Linked DNA regions of Anolis sagrei. The protein of the gene in region 2 interacts with the protein of the main gene of each other region in a biochemical or structural test. Links are inferred from orthologs where the notes say so. Each region holds a gene or a part of one and is shown on either strand. Other genes may lie near its edges.

Evidence for each region. The genes of interacting proteins can lie anywhere in the genome.
Region 1: the proteins of AHR (region 2) and HSP90AA1 form a complex in vitro, tested with the Homo sapiens proteins (2 studies listed by BioGRID). The link is inferred for Anolis sagrei from reciprocal best matches to the Homo sapiens genes AHR and HSP90AA1.
Region 3: the proteins of AHR (region 2) and ARNT form a complex in vitro, tested with the Homo sapiens proteins (14 studies listed by BioGRID, with this or other methods). The link is inferred for Anolis sagrei from reciprocal best matches to the Homo sapiens genes AHR and ARNT.

The regions. Positions count from the first base shown.
Region 1 is NC_090021.1:323,767,796-323,778,503, forward strand, and holds the start of HSP90AA1 (heat shock protein HSP 90-alpha), read right to left. Parts: upstream 4,783-10,708; 5' UTR 4,619-4,782; intron 1-4,618. UniProt on the Homo sapiens protein: Molecular chaperone that promotes the maturation, structural maintenance and proper regulation of specific target proteins involved for instance in cell cycle control and signal transduction.
Region 2 is NC_090026.1:95,812,041-95,822,191, forward strand, and holds the start of AHR (aryl hydrocarbon receptor), read right to left. Parts: upstream 4,295-10,151; 5' UTR 3,614-4,294; coding exon 3,558-3,613; intron 1-3,557. UniProt on the Homo sapiens protein: Ligand-activated transcription factor that enables cells to adapt to changing conditions by sensing compounds from the environment, diet, microbiome and cellular metabolism, and which plays important roles in development, immunity and cancer.
Region 3 is NC_090032.1:5,034,766-5,044,307, forward strand, and holds the start of ARNT (aryl hydrocarbon receptor nuclear translocator), read right to left. Parts: upstream 4,783-9,542; 5' UTR 4,689-4,782; coding exon 4,664-4,688; intron 1,356-4,663; coding exon 1,250-1,355; intron 962-1,249; coding exon 917-961; intron 1-916. UniProt on the Homo sapiens protein: Required for activity of the AHR. Upon ligand binding, AHR translocates into the nucleus, where it heterodimerizes with ARNT and induces transcription by binding to xenobiotic response elements (XRE).

The DNA of each region.
Region 1 (10,708 bases), on a different chromosome or scaffold from region 2:
AAATAACATTTAACAGTTAATTATGCCTGATATCTAAACAGTGGGTATACTGGCATCTTAATCCCAATGGTCATTGAATGTAATAAAAAGTTCTGGATCTCTGCTAAAGAGTAATAAATTTTGTAGATAGTTATGTCTAGTGCTTCGTTAAATATTACCTTGGGTTAGGTACCGTCACTATAAATTATCGTATATTTAATGCTTTTTATTCATTGGATTTAATCAATTCCTAAGTGTGTTCGATGCGTTATGTATATTTCAGCTCTTAAATTTGGGATTTCTGGGATGTCACTAAGTTTATATTGATGTTAGCCTTAATTATTTTTATTTGTTTCTTTGTTTTTCAGCATTGAATGTTTGCCATGTTTGTTGGAGACTGCCCAGAGTACCCTCAGGGTGATAAGGTAGGTTACAAATAAAGTTTTCTGGGCTGTATAGCCATGTTCCAGAAGCATTCTCTTCTGACATTTCACCTACATCTATGGCAGGCATCCTCAGAGGTTGTGAGGTCTTCTGGAAACTAGGCAAGTGAGGTTTATATATGTGTGTGTGTGTATCTCTGTTGAAACCATGAAAATGAACAAAATACGTCTACGGTATTAAAACCGTAGACAATAAATAAGGAACAGCACAGCTACACAGTTTCTCTGTGTAGTCTGACATTTTCAACAGTCCTCACAACCTGAGGATGTCTGCCATAGATGCAGGCAAAACGTCAGGAAAGAATGCTTCTGGAACATGGCCATAGAGCCCAGAAAACTCACAGAAACCCAGCGATTCCGGCCATAAAAGCCTTTGACAACACATTAAAGTTACTATTATTATTAACACACACACCCAATGAATACAAGATCTGCCTTTGGACAAATGGACACAACTCCTGGGGAAAAGGAGAAGCTATAAAAAGATATAAAGGAATCCTGTAATCCAGTGGTTCCCAACCTTTTTTTTTACCAAGGACCACTCTCCAACATTAGTACCAAAGAGTTACGAATCAGATTTTTGTCAACTTGAGATTGAGTTTGGTTATTTGGGGTGCTGATTCAAAAGATTACATTGGATACACCATGCTTCTCCCTATGACTTCCTCTCACGTATTTATACATGGTGATCACGTCTCCTCTCCTAGGATGTATGTATTTTTTATCTGTATGTTTAATGCAGCATTTAGTATTATCAATTTGGAAGCCGCTCTGAATCCCCTCCAGGGTTGAGATAGCGCGGGGTAAAAATACAATAAATAAATTTTATTCAGCTGTGTAGAAGGGACCTGAGCTACGTTAGTCAAAGTGGAGTCAAGCTGCATTAACTCTATAACATAGATGTGTCCTAAGACAGGTGTTTGGTGAAAAAGGGAGGTTTCTCAATGGCTACTTCCAACTTATGGAATTCCCATCCCTCAGACTCTATTTACACTGCCATATAATGCAATTTGAAACATTTTATTTTTATTTATTTATTTATTTATTCATTTTGTATACCAACCTTCTCACCTCTCTTGAGGGACTCAGACCGGTTTCCAACCATAATATTACATACAGTCAATAAAACATCATAATTCATATTACAGTAAAACCTTAAAACAGCAATTACATTCAATAACTACAATGGTCAGTTGTCATACTAAAATCGTTGTTCATCATCCTCCATCCATATCTCAGCATATTGGCTCACTCGTCGAATGCCTGGATCCATAACCATGTCTTCACCTGTTTCCTAAATGTCAGGATAGAAGGGGCGGTTCTGATCTCCAGTGGGAGAGAGTTCCAGAGTCGAGGGACCACCACCGAGAAGGCCCTGTCCCTCGTCCCCACCAGACGCGCTTGCAAGGCCAGTGGGACCGAGAGCAGGGCCTCTTCTCCAGACGATCTTAATAATCTTGATAGTTCATAGGGGAGAATACGTTCGGAGAGGTAAACAGGGCCGGAGTCGTTTAGGGCTTTTAAACTGCATTATATGTTGTTCACTCGTTCAGTCGTCTCCGACTCTTCGTGACCTCATGGACCAGCCCACACCAGAGCTCCCTGTCGGCTGTCACCACCCCCAGCTCCTTCAAGGTCAGTCCAGTCACTTCAAGGATGCCATCCATCCATCTTGCCCTTGGCCGGCCCCTCTTCCTTTTGCCTTCCACTTTCGCCAACATAATTGTCTTCTCTAGGCTTTCCTGTCTCCTCATGATGTGGCCAAAGTACTTCAACTTTGTCTCTAGTATCCTTCCCTCCAGTGAGCAGCCGGGCTTTATTTCCTGGAGGGTGGACTGGTTGGATCTTCTCGCAATCCAAGGCACTCTCAGAACTTTCCTCCAGCACCACAGCTCAAAAGCATCTATCTTCCTTCGCTCAGCCTTCCCTAAGGTCCAGCTCTCACATCCGTAGGTTACTACAGGGAATACCATGGCTTTGACTAGGCGGATCTTTGTTGCCCATGTGATGTCTCTGCTCTTTACTATTTTATTGAGATTGGACATTGCTCTGCATTATATAGTGGTATCAATACATCTCCTCCCATCCTTCTCTTCTTCAGGCTAAACATGCCCAGCTCTTTAAGCCGCTCCTCATAGGGCAGTGGTTCTCAACCTTCCTAATGCCATGACCCCTTAATACACTTCCTCATGTTATGGTGACCCCAAACCATAAAATTAGTTTCATTGCTACTTCATAACTGTCATTTTCCTGATGTTATGAATAGTAACGTAAATATCTGATATGCAGGATGTATTTTCATACACTGGACCAAATTTGGTACAAATACCCAATATGCCCAAATTTGAATACTGATGGGATTGGGGGAAGGTATTGATTTTGTCCTGTGGGAGTTGTAGCTGGGATTTATAGTTCACCTACAATCAAAGAGCATTCTGAACTCCTCCAACAATGGAATTGAATCAAACTTGGCAAACAGAAGTGCCATGTCCAACAAAAAGTACTGGAAGGGTTTGGTGGGCATTGATCTTGAGTTTTGGGATTTGTAGTTCACCTACATCCACAGAGCACTGTGGACTCAAACAATGATGGATCTGGACCAAACTTGGCACGAATTCTCAATATGCCCAAATATGAACACTGGTGGAGTTTGGGGGAAATAGACCTTGACTTTTGGGAGTTGTAGTTGCTAGGATTTATAGTTCATTACAATCAAAGAACATTCTGAACTCCACCAACGATAGAATTGGCTCAAACTTCCCACATGGAATCCCCATGACCAACAGAAAATACTGTGTTTTCTGGTGGTCTTTGGTGACCCCTCTGACACCCCCTCCCGGGGTCCCAACCCCCAGGTTGAGAAACACTGTCATAGGGCTTTGATCATTTTAGTCACCCTCCTCTGGGCACATTCCAGCTTGTCAAGATCTCTCTTCAATTGTGGTGCCCAGGATTGGACACAATATTCCAATTGGAGGAGAAAAGCCTTCAAAGCTTCTGCCATAAACCTCTCCCAGCCCCAAATTGTATTTCCCCCCTTACAAAATAATCCATTTCTGTCACTGTTAAAAAGTGTTACCTCCTCCCTCAATTCCTCCACTGATTTCCTGGCCACAGGAAATAGTGGTATCAATACATCTCCTCTCATCCTTCTCTTCTTCAGGCTAAACATACCCAGCTCTTTAAGCCGCTCCTCATAGGGCTTTGATCATTTTAGTCACCCTCCTCTGGGCACATTCCAGCTTGTCAAGATCTCTCTTCAATTGTGGTGCCCAGAATTGGACACAATACTCCAATTGGAGGAGAAAAGCCTTCAAAGCTTCTGCCATAAACCTCTCCCAGCCCCAAATTGTATTCCCCCCTTACAAAATAATACATTTCTGTCACTGTCAAAAAGTGTTGCCTCCTCCCTCAATCCCTCCACTGATTTCCTGGCCACAGGAAATAGTGGTATCAATACATCTCCTCTCATCCTTCAGGCTAAACATGCTCAGCTCTTTAAGTCGCTCCTCATAGGGCTTTGATCATTTTAGTCACCCTCCTTTGGGCACATTCCAGCTTCAATTGTGGTGCCCAGAATTGGACACAATATTCCAATTGGAGGAAAAAAGCCTTCAAAGCTTCTGCCATAAACCTCTCCCAGCCCCAAATTGTATTCTCCCCCCCCCCCCTTACAAAATAATACATTTCTGTCACTGTCAAAAAGTGTTGCCTCCTCCCAATTCCCAATTCAGGCCAAAGGACCTGAATACTAAGAGTATCTGCGCCATCTGTCGGCCTGGGAGGGGTAAGGAACCCTTCTAGAAACTGCTAGAGACTTCCCGCCCCTAAAGGAACGAAGCCCCGCCCACCGCCTCCCGCCAGCCAATCCCTGCCCCGCACGGGCGCGAGGCTGCCAGAAAGGAGCCCTCCCCCTCCCCTTTGCATCCATGACTAGGGAGCCTAATGACATTATTGCAGGCCTGGGCCAACTTGGGCCCTGCGGGTGGTTTTGGACTTCAACTCCCACAATTCCTAACAGCCGGTAGGCTGTTATGAATTGTAGGAGTTGAAGTGCAACCTGTCATTCATTCATTCATGGATTAGAAGGAAAACTACAAAAGGGAAGGCCTTCTCCCTTTAATTGCTTTCCCCCCCCCCTTCCTATTCCTTCCCTCCGACATTTATCTCCAGCCAGTCTTCCTCCCTCTCCTCACCTTGGCGGCCTTAAAGATCTGCAGCTGCTGCCCGAGCGCTCTCCCAAGCGATGCTCCCTCTCCGGCGGTTGCTCACCGACTGCACTGCGCCCCCGCCTCTCGCGGGCCTTTTATGCCCTCGCGCCGCCTCTTTCCAGAACCATCGGGAACCTTCACTGACAGAGCAGGAGGGGAAAGGGGGCGGGGCTTCCCTCGCGCGGTGAGGGGGAAGAATGCGCATGCGCCTGATTGGAGGACTCTCCCTCACTCTCTCTCGCGAAACCCCACCTACCTCGAGTGCCTCATCCATCACGCATGCGCACTGCGCGAAAGCAAGAGAGACTTGCCTCCCCTCGGTATCTTAGGCTTGCACTGCGCTTGCGCAGATTCGCCTGGCAGGGAAAGCTATGCATAGCTCTCCTCTCTTTCTATTATGTATTTTATTATATGCTTTTATTTGTATTTATTTATATCCTGCTTTATCTCTCCATATCCAAAGCGGCTCACCATCAAAAACATTACAACTTCAAATATACAAACATAAAACAGTATATCATTGCATATTATCAGTTGTACCATATTTAATATGTTAAATCATATTACAATATTATATTACACTAGCTTCCAGGTGGAAGGCGGTCCCGGTCAGGGTTGGCTTGACGCGCCTACCTCTTGGCACGTTTCTCTCTTTCGCCCTCTTCAAATTCTGCAGCATTGCTGGTCACAGCTGACCTCCAGCTGGAGCGCTCACAGGCCAGAGCTTCCCAGTTCTCAGTGTCTATGCCAGAGTTTTTAAGGTTGGCTTTGAGCCCATCTTTAAATCTTTAAATCTCTTTTCCTGCCCACCAACATTCCATTTTCCATTCAATTGAGGATAATATTGTAATACAATATAATCCTAATAATAATACAATATAATAATTATATATTGTATGTAATATTGCTAATATTGCAGTTTAGTGGTTCAATATAGTAATATATAATGCTAATATTGTGCTATGCTAATAATATAATATATTTATGTACCTATAACTTGTAAGCTGCGCTGAGTCCACTTCAGGGTGAGAAGGGTGGCATATAAATGTCAGTCTACCAGTTTACCTGTCCGAATGTATTCTCCCCTATGAACCATCTAGGTTGTTAAGATCGTCTGGAGGGGCCTTGCTCTCGGTCCCACCGGCCTCTCAGGCGCGTCTGGTGGGGATGAGGGACAGGGCCTTCTCGGTGGTGGCCCCTCGACTCTGGAACTCTCTTCCACTGGAGATCAGAACTGCCCCCTCCATTCTGTCATTCAGAAAACGGGTGAAAACCTGGCTATGGGGTTTGGCTTTCAACGAGTGAATCAATATTTCTGTGATCGGATAGATGACGATGAATGATGGACAACGAATTCACTATGACGACTGACCATTGTTATTATGTGATTGCATCTTGCTGTTATAACGTTTCAATTGAATATGTTATATGATGTTTATAATGATTGTTTTGTGATTTTATTGTTGGAAACTGGCCCGAGTCGCCCGATAGAGGGGAGAAGACTGGTATACAAAATTGCTAAACAATAATAATAATAATAATAATAATAAATCAATAATTAAACGTAATATACACTTATTATATATTATTTTTTTGTACTATATTGTTGTTGTTTATTCGTTCAGTCGTCTCCGACTCTTTGTGACCTCATGGACCAGCCCACGTCAGAGCTCCCTGTCGGCCGTCACCACCCCCAGCTCCTTCAAGGTCACTATATTATACTATATTATAATATACTATATTATATTATAATATAGTACTATATTTTACTATATTATATATTATATATAATATATAATATATTATATTATTATATTATATAATATTATATTATAATATATTATTATATTATATTATATATATTATACATAATATTATATATTATATATATTATATATATTATATATTATATTATAATATAGTACTATATTATACTATAAGGTACTATATTATACTACAATATATATAATTCATTACCAGGATATTATAGTATTATTTAATATATTGTACTATATCATAAGATGTAGCATATAATATGTTACAACATTATTAATATTATATATAATATTATTCTCACCCAGTTTCTCATCCACGCATGCGCACAGACCTAGAACCCTCAGGCTACTTCTTCTCCTCCCCCCTCCCCGTCTTTTCGCCAGTAGAGACTGCGCCTGCGCAGCCTGCCTTCAACCTGGTTGGAAGGACTGTGAGGGTATTCTGCAGATTGAGAGAGATGACATCATCGCCGAGAGGAAGGGCGGAGCTTTGCCTTCACGTGGAAAGGAGGGAGCGGAGTCCGTTGGGCTGTTCCCGCCGCTGTGCCCGCCCCCTCCGAAGGGCTGTTCTGACAGTTGGGCTCCCCCCCTCGTCGCCCTGAGAATGTCCTAGAAAAGGCGGGAAAGCGGCTGCGCTCCTCTCCTTCCCCCCTCCCTCCCGGAAGAAGCGCCTAGAAAACCTGAGAGAAGAATCTCTCTCTCATTAAAAGAAGGAGACATCAAGGAATAGGAAGCCTCTGCCTAATGGCTGACATCTCACAGTAAAAACTGGAGAAGGCTCTTTTATAGAAGATTTCACTATGTGTCCCTGTCATGCAGTTCTGAGGGAGGAAATGTTCTTCAGTGTTTGAAACATTTCACATTTGAGACATGACACACTTTTTCTTAGCTTAGAACTGTCCAATGGGAAAATACAGCCAATGTATTGGGCCCTCCAGGTGTTTTGGACTTTTTTTTGTTGTGTCAGGAGCGACTTGAGAAACTGCAACTCACTTCTGGTGTGAGAGAATTGGCCATCTGCAAGGATGTTGCCCAGGGGACGCTTTGATGTTTAATCATCCTTGTGGGAGGCTTCTCTCATGTCCCCGCATGAGGAGCTGGAGCTGACAGAAGGAGCTCATCCATGCTCTCCCTGGATTTGAACCTGCGACCTGTCCTGCCTGCACAGGGGTTTAAACCCACTGCGCCACCAGGGGCTTTTGGACTTCAACTCCCACAATTCCTAACAACTAACAATTTGCCATCCGTTGGGGACCCCTCCCCCCAGCACCAACTGCCGCTCTGGGCCAGAGCGAAGAGAGGGGAGGCCAGGGGACAGCACCATCTTGTCTCCTGCATTTGCCATCCGTTGGGGACCCCTCCCCCCAGCACGAACTGCCGCTCTGGGCCAGAGCGAAGAGAGGGGAGGCCAGGGGACAGCACCATCTTGTCTCCTGCATTTGCCATCCGTTGGGGACCCCTCCCCGCAGCACCAACTGCCGCTCTGGGCCAGAGCGAAGAGAGGGGAGGCCAGGGGACAGCACCATCTTGTCTCCTGCATTTGCCATCCGTTGGGGACCCATCCCCGCAGCACCAACTGCCACTCTGGGCCAGAGCGAAGAGAGGGGAGGCCAGGGGACAGCACCATCTTGTCTCCTGCATTTGCCATCCGTTGGGGACCCCTCCCCGCAGCACCAACTGCCGCTCTGGGCCAGAGCGAAGAGAGGGGAGGCCAGGGGACAGCACCATCTTGTCTCCTGCATTTGCCATCCGTTGGGGACCCCTCCCCGCAGCACCAACTGCCGCTCTGGGCCAGAGCGAAGAACGAGGGGCCAGGGGACAGTTCCATCTTGTCTCCTGTGCTATTCTAATAATATGTTATAATATAATATATTGTATATACATATAATATTTATAATATTGTAATGTAATGCAATATAATACTAGTAATTGCTTTTAAATGCATAATGATTTTGTATTCTGTATATCTAAACTGTTGTAAACCGCTCTGAGTCGCCTAAGGGCTGAGAAGAGTGGTATACAAATAAAGTAAATAAATAAATAAACTGGAGTAAACTGGATTTCCATATCTTCCAGACAGTACCTTTATCCCAGGAGCTTCTGCAGCAAACAAGAGGGTGGCCAGACGCCGTACCTTTTAAACCAAAAGGTCATGAGTTCGAAGCCAGCCCAGGTCAGAGTGAGTGTCCGACCAATTGTGTAGCTTGTTGTCGACCTTTGCAACCCGAAAGACAGTTGCATCTGTCAAGTAGGAAAATTAGGTACCACCTATGTGTGGGGAGGCTAATTTAACTAATTTATGAGGGCATAAAAAAGACTCCAGCAAAAAGCACTCCAGCAAAGCATGCGGGGAATGAAGAAGTACTTCATCAGTGTCGTAGATGGATGATGAAAGCGACAGCTCCCCTGGCGGCCAGAAAAAGTTAAATAGCCTCTGTGTATGTCTATATATGTTGTATGTCTAATTGGCATTGAATTTTTGCCATATATGTGTACATTGTAATCCGCCCTGAGTCCCCTGCAGGGTGAGAAGGGCAGAATATAAATGCTGTAAATAAATAAATAAACGTGGGAGCAATCACTACAAAAGGCCATCGTCAAGGGAAGCCCCACGTAGAGTGCATTGCAGTAATCCAATCTAGAGGTAACGAAGGTGTGGACCGCCATGGTCAAGTCAGACCTCACAAGGTGTGGTTGCAGCTGGCGCACAAGTTTAATTGTGCAAAGGCCCTCCCAGGCATCGCCGACACCTGCGCATGAAGCATCAGCGCTGAATCCAGGAGGACCCCTAAGCTGCGGACCTGTGACTTCAGGGGGAGTGCAACCCCGTCAAGGACACCTAACAAAGACATAGTTTTCTTAGATCTACAGAGACACTCGCTGGAACACCCCAGCAAGCGAGAGTCCAAAAGTGGCAGGGCCAAACCCAGCACTTCAATCCATGAGTGATACCAGATGAGAGACTCCCTCCTGGGCACACAGAAGACTGGGCGACTTGGAAGGCGCTGAACAGACTGTGCTCTGGCACCACGAGATGCAGAGCCAATCTTAAGAAATGGGGCTACAAAGTGGAATCCACGGCATGCGAGTGCAGAGAAGAACAAACCACTGACCACCTGCTGCAATGCACCCTGAGCCCTGCCACATGCACAATGGAGGACCTTCTTGCGGCAACACCAGAGGCACTCCAAGTGGCCAGATACTGGTCAAAGGACATTTAACCAACTACCAAGTTTGCAAAATCTGTGGATTTTCTTTTTTTTTTGGTTTTTTTTAATCTGTGTGTTTGTTTTGTTCTTTAAGAAATGTAATACAATGGTATGGTTGCTGATGACACGATAAATAAATAAATACCTAACAAAGTGAATTTAAAGTAAAACACTTGTACTTCTTTGTAACCTGCTGTTCTACCCTGCCTGTGTATAATGTTTTGTTACATATCGGCAACCATGGGAACTGATTACTTATCAAAGCTTCCCAATGCATGGATTCATAGTAGCATTTGTTTGCAGGGAAACAACACTTGTGTCTGTATGGATCCAACTGGTTTGCCATGATATCATATATGCCTTTTTTTGAATGCCTCATATATCTAAAGAAGTCCACAGAGAGATACACATCTGAAATGGAGTTGAAAAGAAAAACAGTTTCCTTGGGACTGCTTTACTATTCGCTCGGACTCAGCACTTTAAAGCTGTCAGAAATAAGGAAGGTGTGTGGAGCCGGGATGTCTGAAACATTTGAGGGAATCATGCATTTACATAATACATTAAGGTCTTTTTTTGGCAGCACTGATGAGTCTCATTAGTTGAATGAATGTGATGTCTTTGGCTAGAAGCTGATTCGACACAAAGGGCTGTGCCAACCGTGGCAATTCTAGAGCAAACAGAAGAAAGGTTACAACATTTGGGCCTGCTTAGCTTGCGGGGAAAGGCTATTAAAGGAAACATGAGAGAGAGAGAGCGGTTTAAAAATCAACCATAGTATGGAGACAGGGGATAAGGTCCAGGATTTGCAAATACCATAGCAGCCAGCATTTCACAGATGAAAACTGGGACACGCATGACAAAACAAAATCAAGGTAGGATCCAGATGATTCAAACAAAAGAAGAAAGTCAGAGGAGGAGATAGAAATTGGGACAGCTGAAAAAGTGACAGGATTAAGTAGAATCATAGCATTGGAAGAGACCCCCCCCCCCCAATGGCCTACCATCCAACCCTCATAATCAAAAGACCTTTAGGAAACAGAAAGAAAATTTTCTAGCATTCTTTGTCACTTAATGTCTAGATTTGTTGACTG
Region 2 (10,151 bases):
TCATCTCCTCCCACCTCACAGCCCTTGTTCTGACTTTAATCAGCCGCTTGACTTTAACTGGGTCATCGGAGCTTGATAAAAATAGGGCCCTGAATCAAGGCTTAATTTGTACTATGTCTCAGCCCAGAAATCTGTTCTCATCCTAAGGCTGTAGTCCTTGAATATAGGTTGTTGGGGAGAAGACAGTCCTCTGTGCACATACAGAAGACATTTGCTTGTCATTCAGGAATCACTGCTCCTCCACCCCACCACTGCAAAGAAGTACCCAACGGTTTCTAAAAACCCTTAAGGCAGTGTTTTCCAAACCAAGAAGTCTTTTTCATTTTTTTTAAAAAAAGATGAAATATTATCTACTGCTCTGAAGTAAGTCATAAAAATAACAAAATGTTAGCATTCAGGCTGAAAACAGAGGCTCTTTTGACGCTCCCCGTGGATTATTGACAAAGAGCCAGGAAGTCACTAGAAGCGGCTCTACGGCAGCAAGGGAAGGGAGGGTTGACACAGATTGCACAAAGGGCCACCTCGGGCCACCAAAACCCTTTATACAGGTAGACGTCTTCATTCCAGCAGACACTGCTGGAAAACAGACAGAGAGAGATAGAGAGATGCACGTATATTATGTCAGACGTCAGGGATGCTCCCACCAGCAAACTGAAGAGAGGCCTTTGAGCCAGGAAAATAAACAACAATCACAAGACAAAAACTTAAATGGGGAAAGAGAATACATATTTGTCTTTTTTACAGTGTGTGTGTATATATCTTAGGCATGGTCAAACTTGGGCCCTCCAGGTGTTTTGGGCTTCAACTCCCACAAGCCTACCTATTGGACAATCTTATAGTAAGTGACCATTTTCTTTATAGGGTTGATGAATGTGTCATGGACAAATGGGTCTGTGAAAGTTCTTTCCATTCCTATCCCAAACAACACTGCATTTCAGCTGTCCACCTCTGGTCTTGCTGGGTGTTCATGAAGACTGCATCACCCTCTTGCAGTCCTTATTCTATGGGTGCATGTATTGATAACACATTTTTTCCACAGTATTTTTCTTTCTCAAATAATGCATCTCAGGCCAGTTTCTCTTTCTGGGCATGACTGTGTGAAAATAGTTTCCCAAGGTTCTCTGTCATATGAAGTACTTCATAAAAACAAGGCAAGCAATTCCAGTAGATGCAAAACAACAGGGGTTCCAAGTCAAGCATCCCCAAAAAACCTGGAGGGCCCAAGTTTGCCCATGCCTGATATATCTTTTAAAAAAAGAGCTACTGAAATTCTGAAAGTGATCAGCAATTCCAATAAAAACACAAGGTTGTAAGCAATGGGGCAATAGGATGAAGGGGGAGAGATCAGGAAAGAGGGGAGTAAGGAAGGTATAGCAGGGAGAGGAAGATGGGAGAGGAGGGCAGAAAGGAGAAATGGGGTTGAGAGGATGAGAGGAAGGAGCCCAGAGGAGACAGGAGTAAGAAGGATGGGGAGAGGAATGGGAGAAAAGAATTGGGATGGGAAGAAAAGGGAAAAGAGTTCAGAGAGGGGAACAGGAAAAGCAGAGGAAAGAGAAGTACAGGGGAGAAGGAAGGGAGGGGAAAGTTGAGATAGGTAAAGAGGAGGAAAGCAGGGCAGCCTGGGGCAAATTGCGCCCTCTCAGAGGCGGGGGAGGAAAGGCCTCCCACAGAAGCAATGGGAGGGATCCCAGTCTCAAGAGCAAGCCTGGAGGGCTCAAGTTTACTCATGCCTGAGATTTCTGGTTTTGTTTTTGTTTTTAAAGAGCTACTGAAATTCTGATGGTGATGCCTTATATCTGTACACTGTACAATCCACTCTGAGATAAAGCGGAATATAAATAAAGTGTATTATTATTATCTTGGCATTGCCATGAAAACACAAGGTTGTCAGAAAAGGGGCAATGGGATGAAGGGGTGGGGAAAGAGGAAAGTAAAGGAGCTAAGACAGGGAGAGGAGGTCAGAAGGGGGAAAGGAGTATACTGTAATCTGCTCTGAGACAAAGCAGAATATAAATAAAGTTTATTATTATCATCTTGGCATAGCCATGAAAACACAAGGTTGTAAGGAGAGGGGCAATGGGATGAAAGGGGAAAGGTGGGGGGAGAGAGGAGTAAAGGAGCTAAGACAGGGAGGGGAGAGGAGGGCAGAAAGGGGGAAGGTGTACACTGTAATCCTCTCTGAGATAAAGCGGAATATAAATAAGGTGTATTATTATTGTTATTATTATTATTATTATTATTATTATTATTATCTTGGCATTGCCATGAAAACACAAGGTTGTAAGGAGAGGGGCAATGGGATGAAAGGGGAAAGGTGGGGGGAGAGAGGAGTAAAGGAGCTAAGACAGGGAGGGGAGAGGAGGGCAGAAAGGGGGAAGGTGTACACTGTAATCCTCTCTGAGATAAAGCGGAATATAAATAAGGTGTATTATTATTATTATTATTATTATTATCTTGGCATTGCCATGAAAACACAAGGTTGTAAGGAGAGGGGCAATGGGATGAAAGGGGAAAGGTGGGGGGAGAGAGGAGTAAAGGAGCTAAGACAGGGAGGGGAGAGGAGGGCAGAAAGGGGGAAGGTGTACACTGTAATCCGCTCTGAGATAAAGCGGAATATAAATAAGGTGTATTATTATTATTATTATCTTGGCATTGCCATGAAAACACAAGGTTATAAGGAGAGGGGCAATGGGATGAAGGGGGAAAGGTGGGGAAAGAGGGAAGTAAAGGAGCTAAAATAGGGAGGGGAGATGAGGGTAGAAAGGGGAAAGGTGTAGATTGTAATCCGCTCTGAGATAAAGCGGAATATAAAGTGTATTATTGTTATCTTGGCATTGGCATGAAAACACAAGGTTGTCAGGAGAGGGGCAATAGGAGGAAGAGGAAGAGGGGAGTAAAGGAGCTAAAGCAGGGAAGAGATGAGGGGAGAGGAGGGCAGTTATCTGAGTCCACACTGCCATATTATTCCAGTTCAAAGCAGAAAACGTGGGATTTTATTCAGCTGTGTGGAAGGGGCCTCAGAAACAGGTCTAATAAGGGAGGCACCAAAATGTGTGTTGACCAGTAGATCAAATCCAGAAAAAGTCAAAACTGGAAACATAGAGAAGAGAGGAGACAGAAGTGAGAAGGACTGGAAGAGAGGGGAAAGAATTGGGATGTGGAAAAATGAGCTGAGAGAGGGCTAAGGCAGGGAGGGAAAGAGGGCAGAAAGGGGGGTGAGGGGGAAGAGAGGCGGGGGGGGGGCAGAAGAGACAGGAGTCGGAAGAATGGGGAGAGGAAGAGGAAGTGGAAGAAATAATTGGGATGGGAAGAAGGGGGAAAGAGCTGAGAGGGGAATAAGAAGAGAAGGGGGAACAGGGAAAAGAGGGGAAAGTAGGGGAAGAAGGAAGGAAAGGAGGGAGGGGGAAAGTTGGGATGGGTCATGAGGAGAGAGGGAGACAGCGGGGCGGCCTAGGGCGGGGGAGGAAAGGCCTCCCGCAGAAGCGATGGGAGAGCCTCAGTCTCAAGGGCGAGCCCCCTTTCCTTCCCTCCCCTCCCCTCCCTCAGCCCCGGCTTACATTTTCTGCACGGGTTTCCGCCGCTTGCGGCTGGCGTAGGTGACATTGGGGTTCATCCTCCTGCTGCTCCCGCTGCGGCTCCAGCGCCTCCGGCCGCAAGAGGTTGTTATTGTGTGTGTCTCTCTCTATATATAAATGTATATGCTTCAAAACACACACACACAGCCACAGCAAAAGCACGCCCTCCCTTTGAGGTCTCCCACCAGCGAGGAAGGCAGGAAGGCAGGGGGGTCTCTTCAGAGGCCTCCTCTGCCTCAAGGAAGACAGCACGGGTCTCCTCGGAGAAGCAGGTCGCGGCCGGGCCTCCTCCGCCTCGCCGCCAATCCTCCTCGCGAGTCCCTTCCTCGGCGGAGAGGGGAGGAGAGGGAAGGGAAGGGAGGAGGGGAGCCAGGTGCTTGGCGCCGGCAACACCCACTCGTCGCCGCTGCCGTCCTCCTCGCTCCGTTTTCGGGGCGGAGAGACAGGTGCGGAGGCGGCCGCTCCGTCCCCCCTCCTCCTCCTCCTCCTCCTCCTCTTCCAAGAGACTGAGGCGCCTCAGCGAGACTGAGGGAGAGAGAGAGAGAGTCTCCCTTCCCTTCCCTGCCTTTCCCTTCAGCGCAGCCGCCGTCCTCCGTGACGTCCTCACACTCGCCTCCCTCCGTTTCTGCGCTCTTTCTGCCTTGGTTTCAGCGTCGGGAGATGAACCTTGGCTCTCCCGAGAGGCCCGGCCCACCGCCCACCGAGCAGGAGAAACAGGAGGAGGAAGAGGAGAAGGAGGAGGAGGCCCCGGTGGGAGGGGGGCGCTGGGCGGCGTCAAGGGGGCGGCGCGGCGCCATGTTGGGAAGGTCAGGCCGGGGAAGCAGAGCGAGGAGAGCGCAGAGAGGGAGAGAGAGGGGAGGGGCCTTGCTCTGCCCTAGGCCTGGGCAAACTTGGGCTCTCCCTCCAGGTGTTGTTGACTTCAACTCACACCGTGCCTAACAGCCTCAGGCCCTGTGCCTGTGTTAGGAATTGTGGAAGTCCAAAGCACCTGGAGGGAGCGCCCAGTTTGCCCAGGCCTGTGTCCGTGTTAGGAATTGTGGGAGGACAAAACACCTGGAAGGAGGGCCCAGGTTTGTCCAGGCCTGTGCTTAGAATTGTGGAAGTCTAAAGCACCTGGAAGTAGGGCCCAAATTTGCCCTGGTCTGTGCCTGTGTTAGGAATTGTGGGAGTTGAAGTCCAAAACACCCGGAGGGAGGGCCCAAGTTTGCACAGGCCTGTGCCTGTTTTAGGAATTGTGAGAATTGAAGTCCAAAGCACCTGGAGGGAGGGCCCAAGTTTGCCCAGGCCTGTGCTTGTGTTAGGAATTGTGGGAGTTGAAGTCCAAAGCACCAGGAGGGAGGGCCCAAGTTTGTCCAGGCCTGTGTATGTGTTAGGAATTGTGGAAGTCCAAAACACCTGGAAGAAGGGTCCAAGTTTGCCCAGGCCTGTGCTTGTGTTAGGAATTGTGGGAGTTGAAGTCCAAAGCACCAGGAGGGAGGGCCCAAGTTTGTCCAGGCCTGTGTATGTGTTAGGAATGGTAGAAGTCCAAAACACCTGGAAGGAGGGTCCAAGTTTGCCCAGGCCTGTGTTAGGAATTGTGGAAGCCCAAAACACCTAGAGGGAGGGCCCAAGTTTGCGCAGGCCTGTGCCTGTGTTAAGAATTGTGGGAGTTGAAGTCCCAAAACAACTAGAGGGAGGGCCCAAGTTTGCGCAGACCTGTGCCTGTGTTAAGAATTGTGGGAGTTGAAGTCCAAAGCACCTGGAGGGAGTGCCTAAGTTTGCCCAGGCCTGTGTATGTGTTAGGAATTGTGGAAGTCCAAAACTCCTGGAGGGAGGGCCCAAGTTTGCCCAGGCCTGTGCCTGTGTAAGGAACTGTGAGAGTTGAATCAGCCCTAGCAAACAACAATGTATACTGTACACCTTGAAGGAAATGTGTACACCCTGAATACCTTACAATTCTGGTATTATTTTTTTTGCAGGGTTCCCCCCCCCCCCCAAAAAAAAGATAGTATGTGCCCTGAACAGGAATTAAAGATTTTAACAGTGAAGAAGTGTCACAAAATTACATGAGGAACAAGTAAGGTTGTTAACTGTGCTTCGATAAAACAAGCAGTGTATATCTGGGTAGGGGTGACAATCTGCACATAAAATGGTAATTTAAGATGGAATTAATAACTCTGAGAAAACCCTTATAATAACATTTTTTTACTTAGACTTACATACTTACTTGTATTACCAACTCAACATTTTTATTATGGTCCAAAGACCTTTATTACACTTACTTATATTAGGGTTCGAATGAGCTGTTAAAGGGCAAATGCATTGGGGGTGGGGCACACTATTGTGGGCATTCAAGACATTTTCTGGGAACTATAAAGTGACCCTTTCATTAAGTTTTCTTAGCAACTTTTATTCAGAAGAGGTTTGCATTCCTCAGAGTTCCTCTGAGGCTGAGAAAGTGTGACTTGCCCACTCCTATAATTCCATAGCATTGAGCCATGGCAGTTAAAGTGATGTGAAACTACATTAATTGTACAGTGTAAATGCACCCTTGGAGGCCCTGCCTATATATTTAACTGTGTATTCCTGTTCAGGACTAAGACCCACTGAGTTCAACAGGGTTTATGTTCAGCTAAGTCTGTATAGGACTTTAGCCTTACTCTTGAATTGCTGAATGTAAGTGGGCCTCCAGCCTCAATAGTACAATTTTACTGTCTTAAAATTAAAATTATTTGGCCCACTCAATGTGTTCTGGGATTTGTTCAGACAAGCCTTTAAAAAGAAAAGTGGTCTGTTGCAACATTTTATTTTATGTTTCTAGAAGATCTTTTTCTTCCTACTTAGAATGCACTGAAACAATAGAAAAATATCCATGTCATAAAATGGAAACAGAATTCACATAAAAACAAATTAAGGGCATCAATTTGGTATTAGAAACCAGTTTTTATGTCTCTCGTGCCTGATAATAGTGATGATCCTCTAGCTCCAGAACTGCTCAGTCATTTCCTTACTTCATCTCACATGAATGTATACAGGGATTGTTTGTTAGATAAACACTTTTAGTACGAGTGTCATTAATTCTGAAGGATAGCCTTTTCCCACAGCTTCACAACCTTTCCAACATGACAACACAGGCCCAGTAAAAATGACAAACCTTGTGGTGCCTTAAAAGCTCCAGTACATTTATTGTGGTATGACCTTTGCCTGCATGTAACCAAAGATACATTCCTCAGAATGAAAATAAGGAAGAGTAAACTGGAGCTTACAACTGGAAAATAGAGGGAGAAAATGTGGAGGCCGTGACAGACTTTGTATTTCTAGGTGCAAAGATTACTGCAGATGCAGACTGTGGCCAGGAAATCAGAAGACGCTTACTTCTTGGGAGGAGAACAATGTCCAGTCTCGATAAAATAGTAAAGAGTAGAGACATCAGACTGGCAACAAAGATCCGCCTAGTCAAAGCCATGGTATTCCCTGTAGTAACCTACGGATGTGAGAGCTGGACCTTAGGGAAGGCTGAGCGAAGGAAGATCGATGCTTTTGAGCTGTGGTGTTGGAGGAAAGTTCTGAGAGTGCCTTGGACTGCGAGAAGATCCAACCAGTCCATCCTCCAGGAAATAAAGCCCGACTGCTCATTGGAGGGAAGGATACTAGAGACAAAGTTGAAGTAGTTTGGCCACATCATGAGGAGACAGCAAAGCCTAGAGAAGACAATTATGCTGGGGAAAGTGGAAGGTAAAAGGAAGAGGGGCCGACCAAGGGCAAGATGGATGGATGGCATCCTTGAAGTGACTGGACTTGAAGGAGCTGGGGGTGGTGACGGCCGACAGGGAGCTCTGGCGTGGGCTGGTCCATGAGGTCACAAAGAGTCGGAAACGACTGAACGAATGAACAACAACAACAAACTGGAGCTTAAAAAAACCATGATCGCTTTCTAGCACAAATAGGTATATGGTATATATATTACAAGATACTTCAGCCTTCTAGTGACAGCACCATGCATTTCAAAAAAATACACAAATGAATTAAAAGGCTTTGCAACACATTGTTGGCAGCTGAGAAATCAATTTTCTTTGCCCCCTTCATTAATTTAAATTGCACTTATGTTTTAGAGCTGTTTCCTTTAGTTCCAAGGAGAGGAAAACATGAGCTAATCTACGCATGATGGTGTAATGGATTGTTTGGTGGCAGGACCAATATGAAATAAGTTCAATGTTTATAAGACACTTTCATAAAATGAGTATCGTGGAATTACAGAGGTGGAAGAGACCACAAGGACCATCCAGTCCAACCCCCTGCCACTCAGGAGCACAGAATAAAAGCATCCCTGACATGGCCATCCAGCCTCTGTTTAAAAACCTCCAAAGAAAAGAGACTGCCACACTTCAATGCAGTATATTCAACTGTTCAAGAGCTTTTACCACCAGGAAGTTCTTCCTATTATTTTCTTCTAGTTTGAATTCATTGCGCTGTGTTCTATTTGTTCGGAGCAGCAGAGGACAAGCCTGCTTCATCTTCAACACAACACCTTTTCAAATATTTAAACATGACTATCACATCCCCTCGTGACCTGTTCTCAATGCTAAGCATACCCAGCTCCTTATAGGAGTTGACTTCCATAATAAAATAATTGGCATCATAGTCATTGTTTTCAAAGAGTACACGTATCTAAATTTTTCAGAATTCTTTGAATTTAGAAAGATGGCTATACAGGTCTCATACATTGGCAGACTTATCAGAAAGGAACAAAATGTCATGTTGGCATCTTGGCTCCCTGTTTAACAGGTAGCCTACAGTCCGTATGCAGAATCAACCAGTTTGAGAGCTTGGGATGTGAGCTCAATCACTTACTTGAGCTCAGCAAAACACCAATTTTTACCCAAGACAAACTGATGATGCCCATTGCCCAAGTAAGCGCAGGCAAAATACAGATAAAAGGTACGGTAAAAATAAAACTTCATCAAAATAACAACTCAAATCATTTGAGGAAAAAAAAGCCAAATATTTCTTTCTCCCACCCATACAGAACAGTCCCCGTTTTATTATCTTTTTCCTGCCAGCTACGCACACTTCCAAACCACTGGTCAATTCTGTTTTCTAGAATTGCATTTGGGGCCTAGAGGTATTATTGGAAGCAAATATGGCCTCAGAGGCTAATGCTTTAGTGTAGTAGTCCGGCCTCCCAGATTTATTTTTCACTGGAAAAAAATCAGAATGGACAGAATCCAGTTGATGCCAAGGAAAGTAGGAGCTTGTAAGTACCTTCAGATATCATTGTTCGAGACTACCGAGTCAGAACTGTGATGCTGTGGACTAGTAATTATTAATCAGAGTCATATTTACATAAAGTATTTTTCTTGGTGATTATGCAGGCATTTCCTGACAAGAAGATAGAAAGGACCTTATGTCTAGTTCTTTATAATATGTATGGAAAGGAGTTTGAACCCAAAAGACTGAATAAATATTTCTGATTCCTTGAACACAATAAAGAGCAATTTAAATACTTTTGACCTTATATAGATAAGATCTTCATTGCTGTCCTTTGATGCTGAGGGAATGTGACTTGCCCAAGGTCAAATAGTGGGCCTCCATGGCTAAACAAAGATTTGAATCCTGGTCTCCCAAATACCAACATTCAAAAAGATACTCATTATATGTATCTCTCAGTCACCATTTTAAAATTATTACGCCATTTTCTTTGCAGGGTGGGTGTGAATGCCAAGAAGCCAGGCTATGACACATTGCTCAGCATCAGGTATGCCATTGACTTAACTCCTAGAAATCCACATGTGGGTATAGACATTTGCACTATCATTATTTCCTGATAATCACACGATTGATGTTAATAAGTGAGGCGAATAATCTTAGTTCAACCTCGCCAAGAATAAATTCCACAGAATTTAATAGGACTTACTTTGGAGGAATCATACTTAAGCACATGATGAAATCTAAGGGTTCAATCACAATTCGGCCGAACCTTCTTTTGTCAAAAAAAGTTTGAATCCCCACCCCCTTTTGATGAATATATTTTGATACACTGTTTCGTAAAAAAAAACAACCCTAAAACGACTTTAATACTGCCCTAGCTCTGTTCTTACAAATCGGAATCTGGATTCCATCACTTTCAGCATCCTGAACAGCTTCTGTGAAGAGACAAAGCTGGACAGTCTTTCAGATAGTTCATCTCCTGTTCATCTATGTTTTGACAATAATGATAAAGATCTCAAAACGGTCATCTTATTGAAGAGGCTGGGCAGCACAGAAATATGTGAGCAACTTGCCTTATATAGTAATTTGAGAGCTGTGACTAGAACCAGTTGAATACCCCAGCTCACACTGGTCATTTTGAAGTGGAGTGTGGTGAAACAATTTAGCTGATCACATCATGTAAACATGCAAAAACAGGAGTTTCTGCATCTTTCCATTAAGCACTAGTAAACTTAGCTAAATTTAGTAAAGCTAGCTAAATTCTGGATTCACATCTCTGTAATGATTGACAGTGTAGATAAAGATTTTCAGGTTATTTTTTTTTACATATAAAATTAATCTTTTTTTCTGTTAGTGGTACTGAAATTAGTGAGCATTGTACGTACAATT
Region 3 (9,542 bases), on a different chromosome or scaffold from region 2:
GGAAGGAAGGAAGGAAGGAAGGAAGCAGGGAAGGAAGAAATGAGAGAAACAAAGAGATATAGGAAAATGGGGGAGGGAAGGAAATGTAGGGAAGGAAAGAAAAAAAGGGAAGGAGAGAAGGAAGGATGGAAGCAAAAAGCGAAGGAAGGAAGTAAGGAAGGAAGGAAGGAAGTAAGGCAGGAAGGAAGGAAGGAGGTAGAGAAGGAAGAAATGAAAGAAGATAAAGAAAATAAAGAAAGGGGGGAAGGAAGAAAAGGTAGAGGAAGAAAGGAGAGAAAGAAAAAGGGAAGGAAGGAAAGAGCGAAGGAAGGAAGGAAAGAAGGAGAGAAAAAAGGAGGGAAGGAAAGAGAGAAGAAAGGATGGAAGCAAAAAATGAAGGAAGGAAGTAGGGAAGGAAGAAATGAGAGAAAAAAGAGATAAAGGGGGAAGGAAGGAAAGGTAGAGAAGGAAGGAAGGAGAAAAGGAAAGGGAAAAAGGGAAGGAAGGAAAGAGAGCAAAGAAAGGAGGGAAAGATGGAAAGAAAGAGGAAGGGACGGTTTGCCACAGCAACGCATGGCGGGTACAGCTAGTTAATAATAAATAATAAAAAAACTGTATCTATATACCACTCTATCTTCAAATCAGGGATCATTTGAAGAATCAAATCACTTCCTCGACCCGGCACAAAAATACAGCCAGTCCCCAAGTTACAGACATCCAACTTACAAGCGACTCCTAGTTAAGAACAGGGCTGAGACAATCGGAAGTGAGAGGACTCTACCCCTCGGATGGAAAATTGACTTCTGAATGTTTCTAACTTGGGGATAGCCTGTACCTGCCAACCTGTCACAGACCTCACTCCAGATTTAGATGGGCATTTCCACAGAATTTTCCCCATCTAGGACCCCAAGTCCTTGCCGACGGAAGCTCAACTCACCTGAGAAATTTGCTGTTCCCTTCGCCGTCGTCGTCAAAATCGAGCCTGAGGAAGGACAGCAGCAAGATGTGAGATCCCAGCTGCCACATTCCAACGTCAAACAATACCCTGGGAAAACTAGAAGGGAAATGAAGGCCTGGCACAGCGGAGGAACCCAAGGATCCTTTACTGTTGAAACCTGAATGGATACCTGAATGGTAAAGGGGGTTGGACTGGATGGCCTTTGGGGTTTCCTCCAACTCTATGGTTCTGTCATTCTAAAACTCACAGGACAATTGCTGGATCTTCCTCTTAAAATTGCCCCCTTCTCCAAATACCCAAGAGCCACCTTACCCTGTCCTCCGCTTGTTTGTTCTCTGGACGATGCCTCCTCCAGAATGTGCTCCTGCTCCTGATGTCCCAGACGGTGAACCCAAAGAGGAAACATCTGAGGCCATTTCTGGAATAACAACAACAATTATAACAATGATGACGTTGAAGCCTTTCATAGCTGAAATCATTGGGTTGCTATGAGTTATCTAGGCTGCCTGGCCATATTCCAGAAGCATTCTCTCCTGACATTTCGCCCACATCTATGGCAGGCATCTTCAGAAGTTGAGGGGTCTGTTGGAAACTTGGCAAGTGAGGTTTAGAGTATTAAAAAAGCTTAGAAATGGATTTGAGGGAAATATCCCTTCCTGGCTAAGAATACCACTTCTATGTATTTACGACATTTATATGCTGCCCTTCTCACCCCATTTCTCAGAGCGGCTTACAAGATATATATACATATTATAAGATAGATATATTATTTAGCATAGTACAATATCACTATTATATATTACTATATCGTATTATACCATTATATTGTAATATTATTAGTATTACTACATATAATATAAAATACATAATTATAATAGTAAAGGTAAAGGTTTTCCCCTGACATTAAGTCCGGTTGTGTCTGACTCTGGAGTGTTGTGCTCATCTCCATTTCTAAGTCGAAGAGCTGGCGTTGTCCGTAGACACTCCAAGGTCATGTGGCCGGCATGACTGCATAGCTGGCTTCAGGAAAGGCAAAAGCTGCACATTGCAAGTGCTGAACCTGACTCAGCACATAGAAGATGGCTTTGAAAGGCAGCAGATCACAGGAGCTGTCTTCATAGACCTGTCAGTGGCTTATGAGACTGTAACCACCGCCTCCTCCTGAGGAAAATGTATAATATCCCAAAGGACTACCACCTCACCTGCTTCATAGGAAACCTGCTACAAAACAGGAGCTTTTTTGTTGAGTTTCAGGGCCAGAGAAGCAGATGGCGGAAATAGAAGAACGGCCTGCCTCAGGGGAGCATGCTTGCTCCATGAATGTTCAATATCTACACAAATGACCAGCCACTGCCAGAAGGGATAGAGAGTTTCATCTATGCTGATGATCATGCCATTACTGCTCAAGCAGGGAGGTTTGAGATGGTTGAACAGAAGCTCCCCGAAGCTCTAGGTGCCCTTACTGTCTATTACAGGGGAAACCAGCTGATCCCTAATCCACCTGAAACACAGACATGTGCCTTTCACCTTAAGAACAGACAAGCATCCCAAGCTCTGAGGATGACCTGGGAAGGAATCCCACTGGAGCATTGCAGCGCACCCAAATACCTGGGAGTCACTCTGGACCGTTCTCTGACCTACAAGAAGCACTGCTTGAATATCAAGCAAAAAGTGAGTGCTAGAAACAATATCATACGAAAGCTGACTGGCACAACCTGGGGATCACAACCAGACACAGTGAAGACATCTGCCTTTGCGCTATGCTACTCTACTGCTGAGTACGCATGCCCAGTGTGGAACACATCTCGCCACCTAAAACAGTGGATGTGGCTCTTAATGAGACATGCCGCATTATCACGGGGTGCCTGCGCCCTACACCACTGGAGAAATTACACTGTTTAGCTGGTATTGCACCACCTGACATCCGCCGGGAAGTGGCAGCCAATAGTGAAAGGACCAAGGCAGGGACATCTCCAGCTCATCCCCTGTTTGGGTATCAGCCAGCACGTCAACGCCTTAAATCAAGAAATAGTTTTCTAAGATCTCCAGAGACACTCGCTGGAACACATCAGCAAGTGAGAGTCCAAAAGTGGCAGGCTCAAACCCAGAACCTCAATCCATGGCTGATACCAAATGAGAGACTCCCCCCTGGGCACACAGAGGACTGGGTGACTTGGAAAGCACTGAACAGACTGCGCTTTGGCACCACGAGATGCAGAGCCAACCTTAAGAAATGGGGCCACAAAGTGGAATCCTCGACATGCAAGTGCAGGGAGGAGCAAACCACCTGCTGCAATGCACCCCGAGACCTGCCACATGATGCACCAGGGAGGACCTTCTTGCAGCAACACCAGAGGCACTCCAAGTGGCCAGATACTGGTCAAAGGACATTTAACCAATTACCAAGTTTGCAAAATCTGTGTGTTTTTTCCCCTCTTTTTAATCTGTGTGTTTGTTTTGTTCTGTTAGAATTGTAATACAATGGTATGGTTGCTGATGACACGATAAATAAAATAATTCAATAAATACAATGGTCAGTCGTCCCACTAAATTCGATGTTCATCAACCTCCATCCATATCTCAGGGTGTTGGCTCACTCATCGAATGCCTGTCTCCATAACCACGTCTTCACCTGCTTCCTGAATGTCAGGATAGAAGGGGCGGTTCTGATCTCCGGTGGAAGAGAGTTCCAGAGTCGAGGGGCCACCACCGAGAAGGCACTGTCCCTTGTCTCCACCAGACATGCTTGCGAGGCCGGTGGGACCGAGAGCAGGGCCTCTCCAGACCATCTTAATAATCGTTGGCTCACTCGTCAAATGCCTGTCTCCATAACCATGCCTTCACCTGCTTCCTGAATGTCAGGATAGAAGGGGCGGTTCTGATCTACGGTGGGAGAGAGTTCCAGAGTCGAGGGGCCACCACCGAGAAGGCCCTGTCCCTCGTCCCCACCAGACACGCTTGCAAGGCCGGTGGGACCGAGAGCAGGGCCCCTCCAGACGATCTTAATAATCTTGATGGTTCATAGGGGAGAATACGTTCGGAAATATTATTGTAATATTACTGAACACAGGAAGACGGTAAAATTGAACAAAGGAAATGGTACAAGGATGATGAGAACGGATTCTGATTTGTTACTGAGGCGTTATGATATGATAATGATTGTTTGATTTTGTCTGCTGTATATGATGTGTTTTAATCGCTTAGGATATTGTTGTGATAACCTGTATTGTGTAAACCGCATTGAGTCGCCTAATTAGGCTGAAAAATGTGGTATAGAAATAAAGCAAATAATAATAATAATAATAATAATAATAATATTACTAGTATCATACCGTATTACATGAGACTATTATCAATGGCAATGCCTTTCATTTCCCCCTATTTTGCTCTCCCATAACACCAAGTCAAATCAATATAGAAATAACAATAATAACAAGAAATATCCCTTCTGCTTCCCTCCCTGAGTCCCTCCTCCTGTCACTCAAAGCTCCTCCCCAAAAGCCACCCTCCTCTTTCCCCCCAAATTCTCCCCATTTGACTCTCTTGACCTCCCTTTCCTTCCTTTTCTTTTGGACCCACTCCTCCCAGAATCCCCTGGGCCTGCCTCCATGTTGTCCTCTCCCAGCATGCCCCTAAACCCCCTTTTCCTTTTCCTTTCCCTATTTCCAAGACGCGGCCTTCCTTGGAGTGGCGCCACAACGCGAGGCCCACTAGGCCTCAACCCACCTTGGCTAGCAGTAGTGGTTGCCATGGCGACCCGAGGAGGAGGAGGAGGAGGCGCCCTCCCGCTCTGCCCCGCTGCTCCCTTCTCGCCTCCAAGATGGCGGGCGCTCCCACTGCGGGGCGAACCCCAGCAGGGGGCGGGGCGAGCAATTGAGTACTCTGATTGGTGCAACGAAACCAACTGGGCGTGGCCTCCCGTGCGCGCTTCCTATTCTGAGCTCTGACGCCGAAGGGGCGGGGACAGAGAGGCGAATAGCTCTCCCATTGGTGCAGCGGGAAAAGGGGGAGGGGCGTCCGGGAATGGATTTGTTTATTTATTTATATCCCGCTTTCTCTCTGCAAATCTAAAGCAATACAACTTAAAATACATAATACAACACTATTATCATTATATATTATTATCATATATGATGGATTATTACATAATAATATTATATATATAATTATAATATATATTATATTATTATCATATTATGGATTATTACATAATTTTATATATAATTATAATATTATATATTACATTATTATATCATTCTATATTATTATAATATATGATGGATTATTACATAATTATAATATTATATATTACATAACAATATATTATATATATGATTATAATATTAAATATTACCTTATTATATCATTCTATTTTATCATATATTATGGATTATTATTATATAATTATATATATATTATATTACATTATTATATCATTATATATTATCATATATTATGGATTATTGCATAATTATATTATATATATAATATATATCACATTATTATATTATTATATACTATTATTATATATTATGGATTATCACATAATTATATATTATATATATAATTATAATATTAAATATTACATCATTATATCATTATAATCATATATTATGGATTATCACATAATTATATATTATATATATAATTATAATATTATATATTTCATTATTATATCATTATATAGTATTATCATATATTATGGATTATTATTATATCATTATATATATTATATATTACATTATTATATCATTATATATTATTATCAATTATTATGAATTATTACATAATTATATATAATATATATTTAATTATAATATTATATATTTCATTATTACATCATTATATATTATTATCATATATTATGGATTATTATTATATCATTATATATATTATATATTACATTATTATATAATTATATATTATCATATATTATGGATTGTTACATAATTATATATATATATATATAATATTATATATTTCATTATTTTATCATTATATATTATTATCAATTATTATGAATAATTACATAATTATATTATGTATATATAATTATAATATTATATATTACATTATTATATCATTATATCATTATATATTATATATATAATTAATTATATATATATTATATTATTATATATTATATTATATATATATATATACTTATAATATTAGTATAAATAAATATTACTAATATATTATTATATATTATTTATTTATTTACAGGAAGGAAGGGAAGCTGGAAGGAAACAAGGAAGGAAGAAAGATGCACCAAGGGTTTGAATGGAGGGGCAGAATATCAAGAAGGTGCAATGCTTGATGCATCCTCTGGAGGGCGGCAAAGGATTGCACATAGGAGTCCTGGGCAAATGGTGCCCCTGAGATTTCAATGGAGGGTCAGAATACCCAGAGGGAGCAATGCTCAATGTGACCACCAGGGGGTGGCAAAGGGTGTACTACTACTACTACTACTTCCATCATCTGTGTGCCAAGTTTGGTCCAGATCCGCCAGCAATGGGAGTCACAGGGCTCGCTGGGTGCGGAGTGAACCATAACTCCCATCATCCAGCGTCAATGGAAATGGATGGATGGATAGATAGACTGATGGATGGATGGATGGATGGATGGGTACACTGATTGATAGATGGATGGATAGACTGATAGATTGATAGATGGGTGGATGGGTGGATGGATGGATGGATGGATGGATACATTGTTGGATGGATGGACGGATGGATGGATAGATATATTGATCGATGAATGGATGGATACATAGATGGATGAATAGATGGATAGATGGATAGAAAGATGGATGGATGGATAGACTGATATATTGATAGATGGGTGGATGGATAGATGGATGAGTGGATGGATAGATGGATGGATGTATAGATAGATGGATAGCTAGATGGATAAATGGATGGATGGATGGATAGATAGATAGATAGATGAATAGATGGATAGATTGATGGATAGATAGTTAGATAGATAGATGGATGAATAGATTGATGGATGGATGGATGGATGGATGGATGGATGGATGGATGGGTGGATGGATAGATGGATGGAAAGAACTTCATCGGTGTCGTTGATGGACGATGAAAAGCAGCAGCTCCCCTGGCGGCCAGAAAAAAAAAGAAGTTAAATAGCTTTTGTCTGTTAAATGTTGTTTGTCAAACTGGCATTGAATGTTTGCCATATATGTGTTTACTGTAATCCGTCCTGAGTCCCCTGCGGAGTGAGAAGGGCGGAATATAAGAACTGTAAATAAATAGATAGATAGATAGATAGATAGATAGATGGGTAGACTGCTATATTGATGGATGGATGTATAGATAGATAGATGGAGAGTTAGATGGATAGATAGAGGGATGGATGGATGAATAGATTGATAGATCAATGGATGGATGATAGATGGATAGACTGCTATATTGATAGATGGGTGGATGGATAGATGGATGGGTGGTTGGATGGATGGATGGATAGATAGATGGTTGGATGGATACATGGATAGAGAGAAGGGATGGATAAATAGATGGATAGGTGGATTGATGAATAGATAGATTAACAAATGGGAATATGATCTGGGCGACGACAGCTACGCAGTCCAACCTGGGAGGGATCCTTCCACTCTCCTTCCCTGTCCTGGGTGAAACCTGACGCACCCGCACCTTGTGAAGTATTCATGAGAATGCTTTCGGTGACAGAAGAGCAGAGCTGAACAACCGAATGGCAGAGACCCATTTTGGCACCGGGGCAAGAGCGAAACGCTGGCAGATCCTTTCCCGCAGACAAGGCAGGTAAGCGCCAAGCCTTGGCGACTGTGTTCCATTCACCTTGTCCGGGTGAACTATGTAACCTGGTGCCTCACCAAACTACCAATCCCATTATTCCATAGTATTGAGCCATGGAGGTTCAAGTGGGGTCAAGATGGATTCATTCCACAGGGTGTAGATGTGTTGTAAGGGGGTCTCATGGCGGGAGTTCGAGTTCAAATGAGTAATGTTTTCCGGAACCCGCCATTCCCACGTTTCTGCCCCTACAGATGAGGGGAAGACCCCTTCCTGGGTAAGAAGACCACCCTCAATTAGACCCATGGAGGACCCCACTGCCGAGACCTTTGTGGACGTGGACAAAGGCATCTGCGTCGGCTTCCTCTCCCTGATGTGCTTCTTCCTCCTCATCATGATGGTGCGCTGCGCAAAGCTGATTGTGGATCCGTATACGGCCATCCCGACCTCCACTTGGGAAGAGGAGCAATTCGACTGACATGTAAACTAGACCATTAGGTTACATGCATAAATATCTATCGGCCAATAGCTAATCCTTTCTAGCAGTGTAATAGCCACTTGTGGTTGCATCTGAGCACTGCATACATGCTTATCTATCGGCAAGTAGCAAATCCTTTCTATCTATGTGTTGCTCTCTTGTGGTTGCATCTGAGTACTGCATGCATACATATCTACCAGCCAGTAGCTAATCCTTTCTATCTATATACTGTCGTCTTGTGGTTGCATTTGAGCTCTGCATGCATACGTATCTATCGGCCAGTAGCTAATCCTTTCTATCTATATACCTCCTTCTTGTGGTTGCATCTGAGCATTGCATGTAAACATATCTATTGGCCAGTAGCTAATCCTTTCTAGCTATATACTGCCTTCTTTTGGTTGCATCTGAGTATTGCATGCATGCATGCATAAATATCTATAGGCCAGTAACTAATCCTTTCTATCTCTAGATTGCTGTCTTGTAGTTGCATTTGAACACTGCATTTGAACACTGCACTCATATCTATCGGCCAGTAGCTAATCCTTTCTATCTATATATCTCTTGTGGTGTCTATCGGACAGTAGCTAATCCTTTCTATCTATGTGCTGCTCTCTTGTGGTTGCATCTGATTACTGCATACATACATATCTATCAGCCAGTAGCTAATCCTTTCTATCTATATACTGTCGTCTTGTGGTTGCATTTGAGCTCTGCATGCATACGTATCTATTGGCCAGTAGCTAATCCTTTCTATCTATATACTGTCGTCTTGTGGTTGCATTTGAGCTCTGCATGCATACGTATCTATTGGCCAGTAGCTAATCCTTTCTATCTATATACTGTCGTCTTGTGGTTGCATTTGAGCTCTGCATGCATACGTATCTATTGGCCAGTAGCTAATCCTTTCTATCTATACACCTCCTTCTTGTGGTTGCATCTGAGCATTGCATGTAAACATATCTATCGGCCAGTAGCTAATCCTTTCTAGCTATATACTGCCTTCTTTTGGTTGCATCTGAGTACTGCATGCATAAATATCTATATATCTATGTAAACCGGGCTGAGTCCCTCAACGAGGTTGAGAAGCTCGGTATACAAAACTGTGAAATAATAATAATAAATAATAATAATAGTCCAGTAACTAATCCTTTCTATCTTTTTACTGCCATCTTGTGTTTGCATTTGAGCTCTGCATGCATGCATATCTATCGGCAAGTAGCTAATCCTTTCTATCTATATACGGTTTTCTTGTGGTTGCATCTGAGTATTTATTATATAATATATATATATATGTGTGTGTGTGTATTTTTTGTCGTGTCCAGAGCGACTTGAGGAA